Notamacropus eugenii: one gene and its partner. The protein of the gene in region 2 purifies or fractionates together with the protein of the main gene of each other region. This does not show direct contact. Links are inferred from orthologs where the notes say so. Each region holds a gene or a part of one and is shown on either strand. Other genes may lie near its edges.

Region 1 (6,880 bases), on a different chromosome or scaffold from region 2:
AAACAATTAACTCATGCCCTAGATTCTTATTTCAGATCATTTCAGAAATTCAGAAAAATAATATTAGCACATAACTGGGGGGGGGGGGCTCAAATTATACTTCTAAAGCAGAAAATTGACCAAATAGGTTACTCTAACACTTTGGTGACCACTGAAGCTGGAAGCTAGGATTCTTGTTCAGATGGTTTGGAATTAGTCTGGATCAGAAGCTTCAAACACTGAACCTGAAGGTGGAATACAACACTCTCAAGTGCAGCTAGAACTAGATTAAAATGTAATTGGGAAATATTGAGCAAAATAAAAAAAAATACAACAGAACATAAATAATGTTGATATGTGGCTTTCTGAGTCAATATACAACCCACAGGAATTCTTCTGTAGTGGTCCCATTTCTATCTGAGTTTGACACTACTGAACTAAATGGTCTTGGGGGGTCCTGGTTTCAACTCTGAAAATCTGGGATTCTAACATCTAAATATTCTAATACAATATATTCTCTACTACATATCCCGAGTTCTTGTTCACAAACTTTTTTGAGGTTCAGTATTCCTTTTTCATCTAAGCAAACCTTAAAGTGTCACATAAATACTTGCTATTGAGTTGTCATACTCCCCATCATTAAAAATTTAAGGAATAGTTTTATTAATAACAACGAAAGATGATTATTTTAAAACAATGTTATGGTTATTTTTAGTTACTTGGTTATAATAAATTTACAAACTAGCTAGAGCCAAGCATATAAAGTGATTCTCTATTTCAAGATGCTCAAGCATATGGACAAAGTACAAATTAACTACCTCTGCTTTCACTAATATGAAAATGTATTTCAGCATTAGTAGTAAAACTATTCAAACGGCAAGAACACAGTATAATTTGCATTGAATTGAACTTCTGGGCAAAAAGGCTAAAGTAGGAGAAAATATTTTGAGGAATTCTTTTAAAAAGATAGATTATACCTGAACTTTCCTATAACTTTATATGGAAACAGAAAAATCAAAGTGGGTGAGTCCAGATATGTAAAGGCTCAAAAAAAGGAAGAGGAAAAGGGTGTACAGAGAAAATTTCAAGGGAAAAAAAGCCCTTTTATTTTCTTTTCCCTAAGTGAAAAAATTTGTTTCAGAATGACTTATAAAGGTAAGGCTATCATACATTGCTACTGGGCTAAATTAAAAACCATGTGATAAAGAAAACATAATATACAAGATATAATTGACATTTACATAGAGTTTTAAAATTTTCAAATTATTTTTCATATTTTATTTATATTTCAGAAGAACGGGAGCAGGTACAGCAGATATTGTCCTTATTTTACAGCATAATCCTTTGGCCACAGTAGGCCCTTATTATTTGTTGATTTTGAGCCTTAGTTTCCTCATTTGTAAAATAAGACGTCACAACACCTACTTCCTAAGGTTGTCTTTAAAGATCAAATGAGATAGTGTGTGTGAAAGGTTTTGCAAACCTTAAAATAATATAGCAAGATGTTTGAGGGAAAGGAATTTTTTTGTCTTAGTATCTTTGCACAAGTACTAGGTATATTACTTCAAACTTAATAAAATGCTTACTGAATTTTCATAGTCTCAGACAGTATCAGAGAACCCAAGACCCTCCTGATTTTCAAGGTCAGTGCTAAAATTCTTGTAAAAGATGGTGCAGTTTGCACAAACCCAGGTAAACAAAAGCTTCCTTTTACAGGATGTTATAGAAGTAAGAAAGTAGCATCTTAAGAAGAAAAATTGTAATCAATGAATTTGGAGATGGAGGGCTTTTTCCCCCTCACAATCCTTTCTGAAAAAGAATGTTTTCTGTATTTGCTAGATGTTATAGTGGGCACCATGCCCAGAAAAATGTAGCAATTTGGCTTTACTATAATGTTGGTTTCTTCTTGTTCAAGTTTTCTCCTGTTTCTAAAACAGGCAAGGACTAAGTTCAAAGCTCAACAATTTGTAGCTCCATTTAGGATAATTATCTAAATAGTAAATCAAATTAATTTCTAAGTGTTTGAATTGAACTATACTTTTAAAGTTAGATTTGCCAAACATGATCATTTTAGAAAACAAATCAAGTTGGGCTTACATCTTAATGTCCTACACAAATGGCTTTTGGAAGAATAAAAGTGGATAAAGTATTGCTTAGATTTCAACTTTCCCCCAAAGCAAAATCTCCAGAAATGTTATAAACAGTGTGACGACAAATTATCACTGACACTACTTTTTTAGAACAGTTTCCACACCCACGCATATTAAAGGATTACTATGTGTCAGGCACTATGGGACTAAACTAAACGTAGGAGATACAAACGTAAACAAAAGAACGGTGCTCCCTGCTCCCTGTCCTCAAGGAGCTTATCCAGCCTAGCATATCTCTTTCTACATTCCCAAGGGACTCCGTCTTCGCCAGGCCACCACGGCACTCCCACAGTTACCTAAATTGATTTGCTTAAAGGGTTAACTTTAAAGCACTTTGCAATGGTAACGACTAAGAGGAGGAGAGCAGTAGCAACAAGTTACCACCTCGTATTTCTCTAGCAGTGTATACACTTTTTCAAAGCTACCTCAACACATTCGTTCTCTCGTTAATCCTGACAATTCGGGCAAGGAGTCTAAAAACAAGTCACTTGCGCAGCCTCGTCTAGCGGACAAACTATGTCCCTTCAGAAGACAAAGTAATGAATGGGGGAGCATCTCCTAAAGCTGACACGCTCCTGCTCCGTGTCGGCACACCCCCTAGGCCAGGATGGACAAGGGGGCAGGGGGGTGCACACGAGGCTCTTCCCCACACAAAGTCACAGAGATGGCTGGCGTCCACCGCGAGCGGCGTGACACAGATACACCCTCACGGAGCCCCGCGGACGCTCACGGCAGGGGCGGAGAGCTCCCGGAGGATGGAGGGAAGCGCACGGGGCGGGGGCTCCCACTCACCTGCGGGGCCGATTTCCATTCATGGAGCTGGGCAGGGCTGCTCTAGGAGAGAGTTGGGCCCGCTCCGGCTCGGGAGGAGACGAAAGGAGGTGGGTGGCGGCTCGCTCCGCGCGCCAGTCTCCCGGGGCGGCGGCGCCTCCTCCTCTAGGGCCCCTTCCCCGAGCTGGCCCTCCTCAGCTCCGCCGCTCCAACAGCGCAGGAAAGGCCGTCAGACACGAGCTGGACGGGAGAGCTAGGAGCCGCCGTCCCGAACCGTCGTCGCCGGCAGCCGCTAGCAAGCGGACTCGCTCAACCGCCGCGGCCGCCGACTTCGCCGCCGGCGCCCCCCCGGAAGCCCTCCGACGTCACTTCCGCAGCCAGTTCCAGCCCGGTGCCTCCGTTGCCTAGCCGCCCTTTACCCTGAATGAATACTTTATTCCGGCGCGCGCTCTAACGCCCCGCAACTGGGAGGGGAAAAGGAGGCGGAGCTCGAAGCTCCAGGAAGCCAGATTTCCTCGTGCCGGAGAAGGGCGGGGACGGAGGTGAAGGCAGTGGAGAATGGGTGTGTGGGTAGGGGCGGAGCAGATGGTAATGAAGGGGCACACACGGAGGGGGTGTGTCCTCGCTTCCAGGCCTCAGGCCTGAGCAACTTGGGGCATGTCCCGTCGTCCTCAGGTGTGCCGGGGCCAATCGGAAAAAGGAAAATTCTGGGGGCGTGGCCTTCCTAGGGTGCGGAGCTCTCCAAGGACCTCCCATTGCTCCTTGCTGACTGACAGGCGGGGGGCGAGGAAACGTAGCTTTTTCAGACAGCTCCCCCCGCCCACGGCCTCAGGATTGGCTGGTGGCCAAGTCTGTCACCTTTTTCACGTCTCTGATTGGACGCTCCGAGCCTCCCCCACCGTTTATACAGTTACACTTCGGGTTGAGTAGCAGGAACATTCCACCAACTGCTACTGCCCGGCCGTTTAACGGTCTCCCGCCCACCTCCCGCGCCTGGCTGGGCTGCCCAGGACGTTGCCCACCCAGCAGCTTGCCTCGGCCCTGAGCTTCCAAGGCAGGGCCGCCATGACAGTTTCTCCTCTCAGTCATCTCTTAGGCGGAGAGAGACGTCGGCCCCGCCCCCCCCATGCGGGTGAGTCAACGAGCTTATTGTGTGCTAGGCCCGGTGCCAATTCCTAGACTTTGGCAGGTCCTGGTCATCCTATACATTCAGTAATTGTACGGAAGCTAGGAGTACAGCGGGCTTCTCTTTTCCTCCTCGAATCCCCAGCGCCTGGTACATAGTAAGCGCCTAATAAATGCTTGTTGCGTGGATGTCAGCGCTCAAAGGGACCGACTCATCTAGTCACTTTACAGATGGAAAAACTAAGGCCCCTTTCTCAACAACACGGTCAATTCTTCTGATCCTCTCAGCTGCCTGGAATTGGGAGGAACGGATCCATCAGCGGCTCCCTCAAACGTTCCTAAAAGGGGGGGGGGGGGGGCAGCATTTCCGAGAACGAGAACTGCTGCCTCAAAACCCATTCTTGGAACGAAGAGGAATGAAAGGGATAGACGCTGGCAACCCAACCCGACCGCCCTTTTACCCCAGTGTCGCGGTTCTCCATTCCCACCCCCACATACCAACTTTTAATTTTTCTTAACTAAAAATCTTGGATTGAGCAATAAGTGACTGAGGGAGTTTCAAAAACACACCCCTCCCTTGGCCAAGCTGGTCCTCTGGGAAAAGGAACTTGGGAAATACAGCACCTGCACCGGACTGGAATTCTACCACAGAATGAGGACCGTCTCCAGGCTTTCAGTCATCTTTTCCCTGTTGTTACACTTCCACTATGGAACACTGTTGATGGCTTTGAATCTCTTTCCCTACAGGATTCCCCATTCTCCTAGTCATGCCTCTGAGTCTTAGCAAAAGGGAGAGTGGTTGTGACTGCTGGATACCAGCTGGCTCCTAGAATGGAATCCCTGGATTCCAGGCATAGGGAGTTTGTGTTAAACTGATAACTTGTTTAATTCGGCCTCTTTAGACTAATGGACCGTAGCACCACCACCATTTGGTGTTTAGGTTGGAGAGGACAGTATCGCTGTCTTCAAATTCCTGAAGGTCGTGAGAAAGATTATTCTTTCTGGACTGAGGTGAAAGTTACCGGGAGGCAGGAGTCAGCTCAAGATAAAGGAAGTACTATAGCTAACAACAGGAGCTATTCAAAAAAGAAATGCACTTCTTTGGCAGGTCACCAGGGAGGGTCTTCAGAACAGAGTCACAAAGACCTTGGATGCCTTATTGTGGCATGAAGGTGACCCTGAGTTTTCAAAGGCTCCACCAGCAGGATATGAGCTCCTGGAAGGTTCTGCCAAACTAGAAAGGTTTCAAGGACAGGCCTAGTGATGTATTTGTTTGTCACACAGGATCCAATCTAGGTAAAGCTGAAGTTCATCATTCATTCATTCATTGTAGGGTTGACCATCAAGTGATGAATTTGTTGATAACCCCAGTTCATGAAATAGACCACTAAGATGGAGGAATTAAATTGTGTATAGGTGGAAAGAAAGTCCATGGCAATAAAATAATGAATTTAGTATCTAATCCAAAAATCATTTATTGTGTACCTACTATGTACTAGGTCCTAGGGTTACAAAAACAAAAAGTAGTCCCTGGCCTCAATGAGCTTACAATACAATGGTATTGAAGTATCCAAGCAAATAGAAGGACTCACACTTCAGGCAGAGAGGATAGACCTCAAGGACTTCTTGAAATTAAATTTCTAACTGATTTTTTGAGATGTTTAGTTTTCTGCAATAGAAATGAAGTGGATAGGAACTGGTAGTTTTCAAAGGCATTTTTTTTTTAATGAAAAGCAAAACTGGAAGTGGCTGTTTGGTGAATCTGCTAAACTGACTATGCCTTAAAAACACAAGTGTCTGCTTTCCCACCACCTAAACTTTGAGACTGGGGGTGGGTTGCTAGACTACAGGGAAGAAACTTAGAGGGGAGGGCAAGTGGCAAAGAAATTCATTTTATTTTGCTGGGTCCCAGGAGACAGAACTAGAACTAATTTATAGAGGCAGATTTTGACTGGTCATAAGGAAAAATTTCCCAACAATAAGATCTATTCAAAAGTGAAATGAGCGGACTCTGGTTGGGTAGTAGGTTCTTCTTCTCTTGAGAGCTTTAAGTAAGAAAGTTGGATAACCATTGGTTGGAAATAGTGTAAGAAGTAACTCTCAATTAGGTATGGATTAAACTCTGAAATTCCTTCCAACTTTGTGATTGCAACCGAAGAAATAAGCTACATCAGCCCAGCCTTATTTCCAGCCTGACAGCAGCAGTCACCTACTGATATCAGCTCTTTCCTCCTTCCCACTGGCATGTTATTAACCCAAGAGGAACACTACAGAAAACAGAAGTAATGGTAAAATAGGGACTAGGCTGAGTGCCCTATGAAAACTAAACCATCTCAGCTTCCAACAAGATGCCCATTGTGCCCAGGAGAGATGAGGAGGGGATAACCAGATAGCTGCAGCTAACAGTTTTATATAGACACATATCAAAGTGTCTTCTCATCACATACACACAACTCCCCCCGCCCAGTCCCCCAAGAGCCAGGCTCTGGCCCTGAGATGACTGAACATGGGATCTTTCAACCACTATATGGGGGCTGGGACTGGATCTGGAGTAGACTCATTCCTCTTCCCCTGGGTCCAACTGCTGATGCTTGCCTTGAAAGAATGAAAAAGCATTTATTAAGCACCTAATATGTGCTACTCACCATACTAGGACCTGGAGATACAGAATTCCTAAGATTCTTTCCTGTAGCAGGTTTAAAAAAAAAAAAAAAAGAAGAAGCTCTTCACACAGTATTTCTCCAAGATCTGGCTAGGGTCCTTTTCCCTAATCCTACATCCCTGAAATCTTATAAAATATGGGATATTTCTGCTGGGGAGAGAGGTTAGGGGCTGATCAGGAAGCCAAAGTGGAC
Region 2 (7,755 bases):
AGAAAGCATCGTCTCTTTTAGAGGGCCATCACAATATTCAGTACATATTGCCTCTTACTTGGTTTCCCTGTTTCCAATCTCTATATCCTTCTACCAGGATCATCTTCTCAAAGCATATTTTGACTTTGTCATTCCACTGCTGAAAATTTTTTAATGATTCCTTACTCTCTACTGCTAAGAATGAGCTTAATTCCACAGTTTCTCACAAAAGCATGCTTCTTATGTAATCTATACCCCAGAAAATTAAAGTATTTTCAGAAGGGTCTGAATGGAAGGTAGCTTAGATGGTATGGTTGAGAGTTATGTCTGTATGACTCATATTAGGGTCGATTCTAGAGAAATAGCATAATGTTCTAGATTCATAAAAATATTAGCTATTGTCTATTAATCTTAGCCTTAACCTTACTCCTAAGGTTCCAGATTTCTCAGTCTTCCATTGAACCCCTAATTAGCCTCCCTACTTCCAATTACTCCCCTTTCTAACCCAAGTTCCACACATCTGCCAAATTGATATTCCTAAAGCACATGTCTGACCCTGTTCCTATCCCTCTCAAGCACTCCAGTGACTCCCTATTGCTTCTAGGATAAAATACAAACTCTTCTACCTGACATTTAAAACGCTTCACAGTTTTTTAACTCCAACCTATTCTTCTACATTGATTTCTCAATAATCATTCTAGCCAAAGTAGCTTACTTGTTAGTACATGTATTTGACACTCCACCTCTTCACTCCAAGTCTTTTCACAGGCCCAGGGTCATATATCTAGTAAGTGTTTGATGGCTGGATTTTTGAACTCAGGTATTCCTAACTCAAAATGGAGTGCTCTATCCACTGTATCACCTACTGATTCTAGGAATAAGTCTAAAACTTAGCTCAGTTCCTACATGGTATTGGTCCCACCAACTCCATATCCTTCTGGATGAGTTCTTCCAATGTACTGTAATACCAAAGATCACTTCAAAACATCATTCCTTGCTCATAAGGCCATCAATACTTCAATAAGTGCAAAACTCAGCCTGGATTCCTGTAGATCACTCTCCTGAACAAGAACTCCATTCCCTTCACTTAGAATGGGTAAGAAGAATGAGAGAACCGGGAATGACTAAAACAAGAATGTTAAGAACAAAAACAGAGGCCCATTTTGGGGTTGGAGGGAAAGGGTATGTGACATATGGCCTCAGAGCCCTTTACTACATGGTCTTTTACTGAATGCTCTGAAAGAAACAGGCACTTAGCTTCCTCAGACACAAATGAAAGAAAGGGATAGTGGAAACCGATTCAGGCCTTTTTGAGAATACTAACAGTTCTAGATATGCAACCAACTGAAAAAAGCTCCTTCCAACAACACAATTACCCAACCAGAACCAGTTACAGAATGTTCATGTACGCTCCACAGTCTCTTCATGGCACTGTCCTTATATGTTGTCAAGACTTCCCCAGAAGTAAACTCCCTAGCATCTTCTATGTGGATAAGTTGCAACAGCTGAACAAGCTGAGAGAGTCTGTACATGTGTTGTCTCCCATCATACTCCTTTTAACTCTTAAAAGAATAATAAAACTAAAAACTTTAAATATTTAAAAACTTTAAAAAATAAAAAACTCTTACAGAATAATAAAATATCAGAATCAAAAAGGACCTAGTGATGCTAGAACAAAATACAGACATTCTTCCTACCATGCAAGAATTCCTTCTACACCTTTGACTTGAGCCACAAGAGCTCAGCTCACTTACTAGATGGTTCATGCCATTGTTGGACAGCTCTAATTACAATGCAGTATTTGCTTATATTAATGCAAAATCTGACTTCCTGCAATTCATACTTATTCCTTCTTGTACCATGGTTTGCAGTAATACAGAAAGTCTATTTCCCCTTTCCATGTAACAGGCCTTCATACATGTGAAGAAAGATATTATGTCACATTTATCGTTACTTCCGTACACTAAACATTCCCAGTTTTCTCAGTGTTTCTGATATGACATGATCTATAAACCTTTCACCCAGTTCATTTATATACAGTGGGAATATTACTTCTCTTGATCTGAACATTAGGCATCTCTTAATGTAATCTGAGATTACATTAGCTCTTTAACAGCTCTGTAACACTTTTGTACACATTGAGCTTTGGTCCACTAAAATCTCTAGGTCTTCTTTGCATAAACTGCTGTCAAACTGTACTTCCTCAGACTACACTTGGGCAATTGGTTGTTTTTAAGATGAAAGACAGGATTTGGGCCTGTCATTTTATTTTAAAAGATTTTTCCAGCTTATTTTATCAGCTAATACTTTTGCCATTAGGACTTTTAAGTCAGAAGTTGAAGGTATGGACTAGAGGAAAGAACTGCTGATAAAGAGGTAGGACAGTAGTAAACACATACCTACCTACTGGACAATTTTGCTTAGGAATTTCCCTGATAATTGATTCCCTTAGGAATTGCAGTATGTGCAGAACACTTACTAGGCTTCATGAAAGTCATACCAAAAAGAAAAGATATCATATTTGTCTTCCAGAAATTACTGTCTAATGAAAAGCTAAACAATTTACATGTTAATAAAAAGAGGAAGGGATTACTACCTCTATTTTAAGGAAGGGGGGAATGAGACATTGAAAAATTGAAGCCACATAGAAAAGGCATCTAATCAGGACAAAGTAGAAGTCTGGTCTTATGTTTTTCATTCTTTTTTTGGTCAATTTAAATTCTACTTATTTACAATATTAACACAAGTCAAACATAGGAATCTTCAAGAATTTCATAAGTTAGTTAATATTTTATATGGTTGAGATATGAAGTTGTTACATTGCCCATGTAGTAGAGGTTGAATTGGTGCCATTACAGACAACCTGAACCCAAAGCTCTCCTAGAAACTTACAGGAATTTCAGGGACAAAGAAACTCAACATCTGAGCAGATATTTGATATGGCAAAGTCCCTGACTGCTAGCAGCCATGTGGACCATGAGTGGGGAACCTGCGGCCTCGAGGTCACATGTGGCCCTCTAGGTCTTCTGGTGAGGCCTTTTGACTAAGTCTAAGTTTTACAGAACAAATTCTTTTATTAAGAGGATTTGTACTGTGAAGTTTGGATACAGTCTAAGGACTGCACTTGATGACCTAGAGGGTCACATACGGCCTTGAGACCTCAGGTTCCCCACTCCTCTAATAATTGCAGAAAGGACTTGTTGCTTTGATAAAGATGCAGAAACCCCTGCATAATTCCATGGTCCTTTTCTACCTACTGATAGAAGTGGTGGGGTGGGGTACTATTTCAGTAAAAGGGAGAGAGTTTTTATCTGGTTTTCTCTCCCTTCCATCTTGCAGATGGCATCATGTAACTGAGATTTCCATTATGGGATAAGGAAGGGCTTCACCCCAACATCATGGTGACCCCATTCACATGACAACTAGTGCAGGGAGACTTATCTGAGCTTGTGTTTGGGACCTTGGCTTTATTTTCCAATTTTGTTTCCTTTCCTTATTTCAGGTGAATAAGTATGTTTCCCAAGACGATTATATGCAGGTAAGATGACCTCGTGAATTCAAAGGTTCAAAGATCCTGGAAAGAACTAAATGATGGGAACAAGGAATCCCAGGAAACTACTCCAGAGTTTTACTGAGATTGAAAAGCAATAAGAGGCTCCAACTTGGTCCATTTTATCAGACTTGTCGAAGTGAACTGTAAAATGCCTAATAATCAATTCCACAAATGGTTTTATGGTTAGCCCTACAGATAGTTTGGTTTAATTCTTACTGTTAATGTGCCCTTATGAGAGTCTTTTGTGTTTTGGTGTGTGTGTGTGTGTGTGTGTGTGTGTGTGTGTGTGTGTGTGTGTATAAGAAATAAATACCCACCCTCATACAAGATTCATATTATGCATAGGGTACCTTTCTACTCCCCAAATTTGGGAAAATCCACCGTGTGAGCCTAAACCTAAGCTACAAGTAAATTTTCCTCCCTGTGGCCTTTCTCCCTCACTGGGCTTTAGCTCTAATAAGCTGAAGTGTGAGAAAAGAGAACCAGATCCTACTCATTAGAGACTGGATTCTCCCAGAACCGAACCCCTTTCAAACCGCATGTCTGGGTCCAGTGCAGATACAGTCCTTCTGGCTCAGTAGGTGTTCTTCAATCCTATACCCTCCTTTTGGGGAGTATCTTGTAATTGTATGCCAACTTTACAGAAACAGGAAGGATGTGAGCTCTTCGAGGACAAGAGTGAAAAGAAGGTGGATAAAATGGTGAGTGGAGGAATCAAGAGACGCTGTCGGGGTTCAATTCTTACTGACTGGTGAAGGTTTTAAGAAAGGCCACCCAGCAGAACCAGAAACCGGACAGCACCTTCGAAAGCTCTGGGAGAGTCTGAGTATGGATGGGAAAGGTAAAAAATGGCCCCAAGAAGGCAGGAGCGCCCGAAGCTCCCGGGAGAAGTGGGACTAAAGGAGGCACGAACCATCCTGCCCCTCGATTAGCGTTATCTCCTTCATCCGCTAGGAAGTCCTCAAAGATGGACAGTACTGTAGTCCCTCCCCGAAGCCTGGGGAGTTACCTAAGCTTTAAAGTAGTGCCTCTGAGCCCGGGGATGCGGAAAGGCGTTTGCCCCAAATGCTGTGCGAAAAAAATGGAGAAAATTGTTGGTTTCGTGAAATTCTTCCGTGCTCTAGCTGGAATTTAAAATAAAAATGCGGTGTTTCCATTCAGCAAACATTTGAGTGCCTCCTGCGTTCAATCGACCCTCTGCGAACAGCGGGGGAGGGGAGGAGGCGGCTTTTAGGCTTAGGACACCTCCGCGAAGGAGGCAGCAGCCGCGCCTAGCCCGAGTGCGGGCGCGTACGCAGACCCCGGGGTGGGCAGAAGGGAAGCGTGCTTGTGTCGCGGCCAAAACATGGATGTCTGCTCGGGGGCTGCTTGGCGTTGAGGTTGGTTTGAGCCGCGGGCAGGGAGTCGGGACTGGGTGGCAAGTGCATGGGGGGGAATGTACCTGGTGGGGTAACTCAGCCAAGGGGGCAGGGGGAGGCTTCCTTTGGGGTCTGTGGGCATGCATGCGTGTTCATGCGTGTGCATGGGTGATGGGGGAGGGGTTCGCGTGTGTGGTCGGCTGGGGCGGGGGGAGGGAACGTGCTTGGGGCCCCGGGGATGTGTGCTTTACTGGAGCTGCTGTACCGTCGCATAAATATCCTGCGCTCCACCTCAGGGCCCTTCTCTCCTCCAAGCTTTTGCTTCGGGGACCGTTCGGATCGATTTTAAATGGAGCTGATGTTGAGACAGGGCCTCCTCTCCCTTCCTGTCCAATGAGATAACACGGAGTCACATCACCAGGACGGGGCGGGGGAGTGGGGGGAGAGCTGGTAATGGAGGAAAGAGAGGAAGAAACTGCGTGGATGCTCCCTCGTACCCCGGAGGCGGGGAGGAGAGGGGAGATGGGGAGTAAGATGGATAAGACTCCTCTGGGCTCGCCAAGACCAGGCCGGTGCTACGGTTTAGGGAGGGGAAGGCAGGAGAAGGCGTGGCGTAACGCCGAGGAACCAGTGGTCGAGGGTGGAGGGGACGCGCTCTGTGGGCGGAGCAGGAGCGAGACCCGGGATTGGCCAGAACTTCTAGTATGCAGATACGGTGGGTGTCACGTGCCAGGGACCGGGACTACTTCCTGTTTGAAGCCGCAGAGGGGCGGGGAAGGGGGCGCGAGCGCCCCGTCTGGCGGGAGAGGGGGAAAGGAGGAGGGGGGGGCAGTTGTCTGAAGGGAGGGAGGGAGGGAGGAGGAGGAGGTGGTGTTCTTGTCAGTTAGAGCAACAAAATGGCCGCGGTGGCAGCTCCGCACCTCAGCGCGAGGGCCCCGGGAGCAGCAGCAGCAGCCGCCGCCGCCCAGCAGCAGTGAACACCTCTCATTGATTCCATCTCCTGTCCGCTGCCGGAGCTGTCTCCTCTCCTGCAGCGCTGTGCTGGACGCCCCCTGGGAGGCCCGCCCGAGCCGTGGGTGGGAGCGGAGTCGGCCCTGCGCTTGCCCGGGTCCGCTGCGGAGCTGCTTCGCCGCCGCCGCCGCTGCCGTTCTGCGGCTCGGGCTCCCCCGTTTGAGGAGGAGGGCTAGTCGAGGCTGCTCGAGGACCTGGACCTGCCCGGACCCGCCGCTGCCGCCTCCTTGCTCTCCCTGCCGCCGCCGCCGCCACCTCCCACCCGCCGCCCGGGCCGGACTCCGCGCAGGCGGGAACCTCTGCCCCTGGCCCCGGTGCTTGACTCCGAGGAGCGGAGAGGGCAAGGGTTCTTTCTGCCGCCGGAGATCCAGCGAAGCCCCCGGGCGGCTCCTGACAGGTTTAAGCCTCCTGCGTTGCCGGAGCCGCGAGCTGCAGCCGCCGCTGGGCCAGGAGCCGAGGTGAGTGCGGCTGGACCCGGGGATGCTCCCCAGGCTGGGAGCCCTGCGCACCGCAAGGTCCGACCTCGGGAGCCCCAACTTGCTCCCAGATGCCGAGAATGTCTTTGTTCGGCCAAGTTGAGGTGTCTGGGTGGGAGGTGCTGGGTAAGCTGCTCGCGAAGGTTGCTTTACCACAAGGATGTAATTCCGCAATTCCATCAGACGCTTGGGGAAAAGGGGGGGGAAAGCTGAGGTCTGTTGTGCTGGCATCACGGTTTTTCCTTTGCCGTTTGGCCAGAAACAAATGATCCCTGGGTGGATTTTTTTATTATTCACTCGTGTTTATTTAAAAAGCAGTGCTGGGGATAGAAAAAGGCATTTTCATTATTGTTATTTGGAAATGCGTTTTTAAATTTCTATGTATTGAACTGCGTTTATGGGCAGTTGTATGATTTGAATCTATCATTTACAAATAAAAGACGCCCTTTTTCCCCCCTTTTTTGGTTTGGCAGTATGGATTTGAGGAAAATCTGTTCCCATTTAAAAGAAGCCTTCACATTATAGACTCGCGTCGAATATAAAATTAAGGGAAACTGGCTTTTACATCTCGTTTGCATATGCATCGAGAAATTTAAAACTCGGATTTTATTTTCTGATGATGGTGATCTTATTGCATATCCATCTCTTCAGGTGAATTTCCTAACGGCATTGTGGGCAGCAAGTGATGTATATGAGAAAAGATGAGCCGTGCAACATCTGTACTGTTAAAAGATAACGTTACTCGGAGTACCTCAATTTCACTTGTTTAAGGAACATTTGTTTCCGCTTGTGATTTGTAAATAGGATTTTAAGTAATTGATCCAGAGCTATTAAGCACGCATATGTAAGTGTAGGATTTCCTGTTTTAAGATACCACTTGTGTGTTAAAGTGAAGTTTGGAAATAAAGGTTGTTTATCCAGTGAACGATTGGAGTAAATGGAGTTTTCTTTTTGGTGGGTAGCACCTATCATATTGTTCTTTGACTGTGATTCTGTATGTAATTAGTTGAATTGTTTCAAATCTTTGACAAAATCCCAACTAAACCTCCATTTGAATGATCTACTATTTCCAGATGTGAATTACAAGTTCGGAACTCAAAATGGTGTACAAATGTCTTGGTAAGTGAAGTGCCTTCAAGGAGTGCTACATCAGGTGTTTAGTAGCTTCTGAGTGGCATATATTGTATTGCCATAGTTTGGCTTTTCCTTCAGTATAGGTGTACTTCAAACGGAAGAGATGGCTATTTCTGGTTATTATCATGCAGATGATTTTTAAACTTCAGAAAAGTAGGACCTTCCTTAAAGTTATTTCAAATGTTTAATTTTGGATCATCAAGAGCAATGTGAATGCACCAAAAATGTGGACTCTTGTTAAGTT

The links. Proteins that work in one complex are often made in the same cells at the same time.
Region 1: the proteins of TNRC6C (region 2) and AGO3 purify together in Homo sapiens (affinity purification with mass spectrometry; 3 studies listed by BioGRID and IntAct, with this or other methods). This does not show direct contact. The link is inferred for Notamacropus eugenii from reciprocal best matches to the Homo sapiens genes TNRC6C and AGO3.

Annotation. Positions count from the first base shown.
Region 1 is NC_092876.1:83,735,994-83,742,873, forward strand, and holds the start of AGO3 (protein argonaute-3), read right to left. Parts: upstream 3,022-6,880; 5' UTR 2,941-3,021; coding exon 2,922-2,940; intron 1-2,921.
Region 2 is NC_092873.1:319,097,483-319,105,237, forward strand, and holds the start of TNRC6C (trinucleotide repeat-containing gene 6C protein), read left to right. Parts: upstream 1-4,747; 5' UTR 4,748-4,881; coding exon 4,882-4,911; intron 4,912-6,233; exon of another isoform or gene 6,234-6,359; intron 6,360-6,688; exon of another isoform or gene 6,689-7,755. UniProt on the Homo sapiens protein: Plays a role in RNA-mediated gene silencing by micro-RNAs (miRNAs). Required for miRNA-dependent translational repression of complementary mRNAs by argonaute family proteins.